Callithrix jacchus: one gene and its partner. The protein of the gene in region 1 purifies or fractionates together with the protein of each later gene. This does not show direct contact. Links are inferred from orthologs where the notes say so. Each region holds a gene or a part of one and is shown in the gene's direction. Other genes may lie near its edges.

The links. The genes of interacting proteins can lie anywhere in the genome.
Region 2: the proteins of SLAMF6 (region 1) and SH2D1A purify together in Homo sapiens (co-immunoprecipitation; 5 studies listed by BioGRID and IntAct, with this or other methods). This does not show direct contact. The link is inferred for Callithrix jacchus from reciprocal best matches to the Homo sapiens genes SLAMF6 and SH2D1A.

Annotation. Positions count from the first base shown.
Region 1 is NC_133519.1:20,450,904-20,455,123, reverse strand, and holds the start of SLAMF6 (SLAM family member 6), read left to right. Parts: upstream 1-1,400; 5' UTR 1,401-1,409; coding exon 1,410-1,515; intron 1,516-4,220. UniProt on the Homo sapiens protein: Self-ligand receptor of the signaling lymphocytic activation molecule (SLAM) family.
Region 2 is NC_133524.1:120,122,095-120,125,664, forward strand, and holds part of SH2D1A (SH2 domain-containing protein 1A), read left to right. Parts: intron 1-783; coding exon 784-928; intron 929-1,936; coding exon 1,937-1,977; 3' UTR 1,978-3,570.

The DNA of each region.
Region 1 (4,220 bases):
AACCTACAGAATGGGACAAAAAATTTGCAATCTATCCATCTGACAAAGGGCTAATATCCAGAATCTACAAGGAACTTAAACAAATTTACAAGAAAAAACCAACTCCACCAAAAGTGAGTGAAGGATATGAACAGACACTTCTCAAAAGAAGACATTTATGTACCCAACAAACATATGAAAAATAGCTCATCATCACTGGTCATTAGAGAAATGCAAATCAAAATCACAATGAGATACCATCTCATGCCAGTTAGAATGGTGATCATTAAAAAGTCAGGAAACAACAGATGCTGAAGAGGATATGGGGAAATAGGAAGGCTTTTATATTGCTGGTGCAAATGCAAATTAGTTCAACCATTGTGGAAGACAGTGTGGTGATTCCTCAAGGATCTACAACCAGAAATACCATTTGACTCAGCAATCCCATTATTGGGTTATACCCAAAGGATTATAAATCATTCTACTATGAAGAAACATCCATACATTTATTGCAGCACTGTTCACAATAGCAAAGACTTGGAACCAACCCAAATGCCCATCAATGATAGGCTGGATAAAGAAAACGTGGCACATATACACCATGGAATTCTATGCAGACATAAAAAAGAATGAGTTCATGTCCTTTTCAGGGACATGGATGAAGCTGGAAACCATCATTCTCAGCAAACTAACACAAGAACAGAAAACCAAACACCACACGTTCTCACTCATAAGTGGGAGTCGACCAATGAGAACACATGTACACAGGGAGGGGAACATCACACACTGGAGTATGTTGGCAGGTAGGGCAGTAGGGGAGGGATAGCATTAGGAGAAATACCTAATGTAGATGACGGGTTGATGGGTGCAGCAAATCATCATGGCACTTCTTACACCTATGTAACAAACCTGCATGTTCTGCACATGTATCTCAGAACTGAAAGTATAATCATAATAAATAAATAAATAAAAGCATCCCCAAACAGCAAAAAGAAAGAAAGAAGAAAATTAGTCTTTTAGAAATTAAGGGTTTTGTTTTGCTTTTTCTTAGCTTTATACTTAAAAATTTCTGATATAATTTGAGTGGAATTGTTTTTCTAATTTTATTTTCAGATTAATCATAGCTAGTATATACAATTGCAATTGAATTATATGTGTTGATTTTGTATCTTTTCACCTTGCTGAATTCATTTATTTGTTCTAGTAGATTTTAGGAAATTCCTTATGGACTTTTACATACAAGTTTATTAAAGATGCAATAAAGGACTTTATCTTTTTTTCCAAAAACAAACAGAAAAAAGATTTGCGTGTTTAGCTCAGAAAAAAGTAAATTGAAAAGTAAACAAAACAGTGGCAGAGGAAGAAGTTCTCACCACGCCTCTGAAGGAAGGGGAAGTCTCAGTACAAAGCATTTTCAGTTTACTGACAGAATGGCAACAGCATTGACTGCCTCAAGGTCTCAAGCACCAGTCTTCACCGCGGAAAGCATGTTGTGGCTGTTCCTGTTGCTCCTGCTTGTCTTCTGCATTGGCCCAGGTAAATGTCAATGCAGAGCCATGTAGTCACTAGTGACTCCCTGGTTTTATGTCACTAGCGACTACACAGGTCTGCATTGCTCAATCGAAATCGTCTGTATACAGTTGTCTGTCTGGGTCCCTGTCAAGGGATTGGGATGGGGAAGGGCATGCTCATAGTGGTACTTGATATAAGTACCACTCATATACCTCCTCTCAACTTTGAATGCTATAAGCTTGAGATGGTTGTCAGTGAACAATTTCAACTGTGTCTATATGTAAGAAAGTTATTTGTTGGGGCAGAGGAAATAAGCTTTTGCAAGACGAGACTGGTTTATGGCCAGCATACTGTAAAGAGTACCAAGATCAAGAAAATGAGCCCTCATACCAATTTAGCCACTACCTTACTGTGAACCTCCAGAAGGTTACTTATCATCTCTGAACCTCACTATCCTCATCTACACTATTAAAAACCTATTATTCAGTTGAGCCAAAATTTCTGGGCCCAACCAAACACACTGAAATTAATCCTCTCTAGCCCGCCCCCTCAAAAAAAAGGTTTCCATCTCTCCCCTCCTATAGTGCAAATTAGGACTGAGTGCTTATTATATTTCAAGTACTGTTTCAGGTGCTGTACACACATTATGAGTCTCATGAGAATTCTATGAATTTGTACTATTATTATCTCCATTTTAAAAGAAAGAACTCAAGTGAAGTTAATTTAAATAACTTGCCCAAATTTCATTAACCAGCATGCGGCAAGCTCTTGTAATAGTTCTGAAAAACAATGACAATTGAACGAGTGTGGCAGCAGCATAAGAGAAAGACAGGATGGAAGCAAGAGATCCCTTCGATATGGAGTTAAGTAGATTAATTGGCAATTGGAATGAGGGGAAAGGAGGATTCGGTAAGTCATTTGATAAATATTCATGGGGCGCCTATTGAATGTCTGGCACTGTTTCAGTCTGCATGAATACATCACGAACAAAGCAAGCAAAAAATTCCGGCTCTCATGGAGTTAACATTTTAGCAGAAGACAAACCATAAAAACGAACAAACAAAAAAGCAAGTAAAATAGTGTATTGAATAGTGATAAGGAAGAAATAAAAGTAGAAAAAAGAAATTCAAGTAGAAAAGGGAGAGATGAAATACGGTAAAGAGGGCAGTGAAATTTCTGACAGGATAGCCAGAGAAAGTGACAAAATTGGAAGGTGGAGAGCAGCCACAGGAGGAAGGTGAGTTCAGTTTTGGACCTGCCGATTTTAGGATGTTGGCATACCATCCATGAGGAAGTTACATGAAAGTTCCTGGGAATTTAGGACTAGGAGGAGGGCTGAGTCTGGAAGCTTAAAAATCAACAGCATAGAGGTAAGTTAAGCTACGGAGAAAACTGGAATGAGAACAGAACTTTGGGAAATATATATACAATGTAGAAAGAGAGAGAATTCTTGCTTTCATTCAAGAGCCACTTCCTGACCTGGGAGCAGAATCTTGAGTTTTTGTTTCATTTTTACCTCCCTGCAAAATTAAATCCACCTCTAGAATAAAAATATTCTGAATGTCCTCATGTTAAAACTCCTCTTCTTCTCCCTATGTCCATGAATACTTCTTATAATGACTCCCTGAAAGATACAGTGCTCCCATCTCCATTTCACAGATGGGGAAAGAAGGCACAGAGCACTTAAGTAACTTGCTTACTGTCCCACAGTTATGGGGGAAATGGGTATAGAAAGAGAAACACATTTGAATGTGTTTGCAGGAGGCAGATGCAGGTGTTCGGAAGCCCAGGAGGGGAGAAGTGGCTGCTACAACTGGAAATCAGGAAGTCCTGCTCTGGAGTGTGTGCTCATGACTGCTTCATCATACTACTTAACTTACACGCAGTCACATATTCACACAAATGCATATATAATTAGAAAGTGTGAGGCTAGCAAGAAAATAAGCAGGGCACGTTGATAGAGAAAAACACAGGGACCTGCTTTAAACCGAGTGATGAAGAAAGGACTTTCTGGAAAAATAACATTTCATCTCATATTTAAAGGGTATGAAAAGTTAAGCAGGAAACATCAAATGAAGAAGCTTTTAAGGCAGGAGGGATCATATGAGGAAAGATCCTGATGCAGGGAAGAGCGTGGAGCGATTTAGGAAGGGAAAGAGACCCCTGTTGCAAAAGTGCAGGGCAAACGAAATCAATCATGGAAACAACCATGAAAAACAATGACTCATGCCAGCCTACATTATTTCCAATGAATGGGAAAGAATCTTCCATTCTTTCCAAAGAATGGGCACTAGCCAACCCACCTCCTTTTAGAAAATTTAGTTGAAAAGACAAACCTTGTTGAAAAATAATCCTATTTCCTTTAACTGAAGCCCTGGGTGGCAAAACTAACAGAACAAAACAATAATTATAACTAAAATCAAGCATCATGACATCCTAGAGAAAGTGAATCTTGTTTCTTTATTTTAATTTCTATAGATAGAAACCTGTCGAACTTAAATGGTCATATAAGTTACTTGGGGGAATCTTATTAAAATGCTGATTCTGGAATAGGGACTGAGGTTCTGCATTTCTAACAGGCTCCCAGGTGACACCAATGCTCCCTGTCCATGGACCACACTGAACAGCAAGGTCCTAAATTCCACTGGACTTCAGTCACCCTGAGATTTTAGGGAGGGAGAAATAGGAACTAATTTTTGAGTGTGCTTGCAGGAAGCAGATACAGGTAT
Region 2 (3,570 bases), on another chromosome or scaffold:
GACAACTGATGACAGGAAAAGAACACATTTTAATAGTCACCTGCAAATAAGTGTCTCTTTAAAAACAAATAAATAAAGGTGACCTTATGTAGTCTTTCATTTTCATGTCATCGAGAACACCTTGTTACAGTGATGTTTTGATGGAGAGAACCATTTTGGGAGTATAGGGAAGTTTCCCAAGGAGGAAAAAATTTAACATGAAGAATGACGCAGGAAATATTAAGAGGTGAAAGAGTATGAGAACTGAACTAGCTATACACTGTGTGTATCATAACAGCCATTTTTTAATTTCCTGTGTAGCATTTTATATTGTGGAATGATATCAGGTAGGATGGGTTGTTGGTTTGTCTTTTGTTGTTGCTCCTCAGACTTTTTATTAATGACCTGTAGGATCTGTGGTTTTTTTTTTTTTTTTGTGTGTGTGTGTTTAACTGTATCCCCTCTGTTGGTGAATTCATTGTGGGTAATGGCCTGTATACCCTCAGAGGTTTGAGATGTCTGATGGGAAGCAGGAAGGAAGGGCAGGGCGATGAGCAAGAACTGGTACAAACTAATACCACCCTTGGGAGAACTAAACGACAGCTCATTAGCTCCTCTTGCAGGGAAATTCAACCAACCAAAGTAAACTCTTCTGGAATGTTGTTTTTCCTTCTTCCTCATGTTTTCAAATATTTCAACAAGTTACATAAATGTTACATCTCTTAGCATCCCTAGCACATTTTTTAGGTCTTTTTGTATCATTATGAGATAGGTAAATAATTTGCTTGGCCTTTTATTTTCCAGACAGCACCTGGGGTACATAAAAGATATTTCCGGAAAATAAAAAATCTCATTTCAGCATTTCAGAAGCCAGATCAAGGCATTGTAATACCTCTGCAGTATCCAGTTGAGAAGAAGTCATCAGCTAGAAGTACACAAGGTACTACAGGTATGATTTACTTGTAATTTTTGACAGGGTTTGGAAGCTCAGAGTTATGAGTCAACCTATTCATAACCATATAATCAATTAGAAGTTATGTAAGAAAAATGCAATGAAAAAGTAGATGTAGCCAGCAAGTCAAATGAGAAGTGATAACGTATATGCTATAATTTCAATCTATTATTCTTTAGACTTTTAATGAATCTCTGTAAAAACATCAAAAATTCTATAAGCCTGACTGCTCTTATCTGTCTCATCTTGTTCTTGTCCCTTTTATAGGTAGCTACATATCATCTCACTTCACTAATTCAGACAATAATAATGTGAAAGATAGTATAATGCAGAGAACACCTAGGGGTCCTTTCCTTTGCTTAGTAAACTATTTTTTCCTTCAGGGACATGAAAGCTAATGTTAGCCTGGAACACATGATTCTGATTCCTGAATTAGTGGTGCTTGAATTAATGACTTTTTTCTGGAAAAATTAAGGAAATTAAATAGTAGACTTTATTATTCCATTGGCACAAATTGTTAAATATCCGGAGAAAACCTGTTTTAGTGTATGTGTCGTGGTAAAGACTGAATACCAGCCAATGTCTGTAGCTATCTGATATGTGACTGTTTACTTCTCTATTGAATGGCGTTTATCATTGGTTTAGAGTAGGAGGATAGGCCTTGATTGAAACAACAAAAATGAGTCATTATGTCCCTTTTTGACAGGGACCTAGGCTCAGGCATAAACTGACAATTAGATTCAAGTGGTGAATTAAATTAATGAATAGTTAGCCTTTATAATACAAATGCAAATAGAGCTCTAATTTCCAAGTTGGCTAATGTTTTTTTTTTCTGCCCAGTATTCTATTCTTTATAACTCAGTTTTAAATAAGTTGCTTAAGGTATATTATTGTGTTGTGTCATTGTGAGTTTTATGCAGGTGGAAATATTATAAGTTTGAGTTAATCTGTAATTTTAATAGTTTGTAGATTTATCTTTTCTTGATTTTTGTTATTTTTCTTTAGGAATAAGAGAAGATCCTGATGTCTGCCTGAAAGCCCCATGAAGAAAAATAAAACACCTTGTACTTTATTTTCTGTAATTTAAATATATGCTAAGTCTTATATATTATAGATAATACAGTTCGGTGAGCTACAAATGCATTTCTAAAGCCATTGTAGTCCTGTAATGGAAGCATCTAGCATGCTGTCAAAGCTGAAATGGACTTCTGTACATAGTGAGGAGCTTTGAAATACAGATTGGGAAAAAGTAATTCCATAGGTTATTTTCAGTTATCATATTTACAAATGGGAAACAATTTAAAGTGTAATGAATATTTTATAAAGGATTAATGTCAATTCTTGCCAAATATAAATAAAAATAATCATTGGTTTTTGTGAAAAGCTCCATTTTCCGTGAAATATTATTTGATAGCTACTAATTTTAAAATGCCTTGCTTGATTGTATGGTGGGAAGTTGGCTGCCTTTGTCTTTGCCAATTTCTCCACTAGCTATGGTATCATAGGCTCTTTTGGGATTTTTGAAGCTGTTTACTGTATGCTAAAACAAGCACTAGACAGAGTGAAGAATTTATGTTTAATTCTGAAAGCAACCTTCTTGCCCAGTGTTTCGATGTTGGACAGTAAAATCCACAGGCCAATCTAGAGTTTAAAATCTTATAATTTAAAATATGCTCTAAAAATGTTTATCATATTTGATGCTACAGGATTTGAAATTGTGTTGCAAATCCAATGAAGTGAGTTTTTCTTTTCGTTTACCTCTGCCACAATTGCTTCTGCTACATGCAGAACCTCATTTTGAAGGGAAACTTCAGCAGCTGCAGCTCATGAATAACTGATTTGTAACCAGCCTCCTTTTAAAATAACCCTACAAGACCACTGGAAAGTTTATGGTTATATTAATTTTTTAACAATTCCAAATGATTGAAACCTACATGAGAGTCAGAATTTTATACAGTATTTTCTTCTTACATTTGTATTTTCGTGATTTTTGTGATTGATTATATGTCACTTTGCTACAGGGCTCACAGCATTCATTCACTCAACAAACATAATAGGGCACTGAGGGTATAGAAGTAAAAGCACCTGATCCCTGCTCACAGTTCCCTGTCTCATTGGACGAGAAAACAGTAACAATAAAAGACAGTGAAAGAAAATAACAATGAAAGACAAGGAAACAATAACAATGAAAGTTGACAAGTACATGATAAGTGAGGTTCCCCGTGTGTAGGTAGATCTGGTCTTTAGAGGCAGAATGAGCCAACACAAATACTCTGGTCCATGGTCCATATGAAAAGGACTTCACTATAGAACAGTAACTTGGAATTCTGGGTTGTGTATGAGTGTTGGTGAACTTGGTTTTTAAATAGTGAACTGCTGAGAGACAGAGCTACTCTCCATGTGCTGGCAAGACCTGATTTCTGAGTATTTAGTATGGATGCCATGGGAGTACAAAAGTGCAGTGTGGCCCCAGTAATGCATTATGGGTGGTTTACCATTTCTTGAGGTAAAAGCATCACTTTAACTTGTAGAGGAATTTTAAAATCCTACTTTCAAAATAAATTGTGTATGTTTAATAGTGTTGAATTATATGGCTTGAGTCTCCATTGTAATAGGTGTAACTAATTTTAAATCTTTAT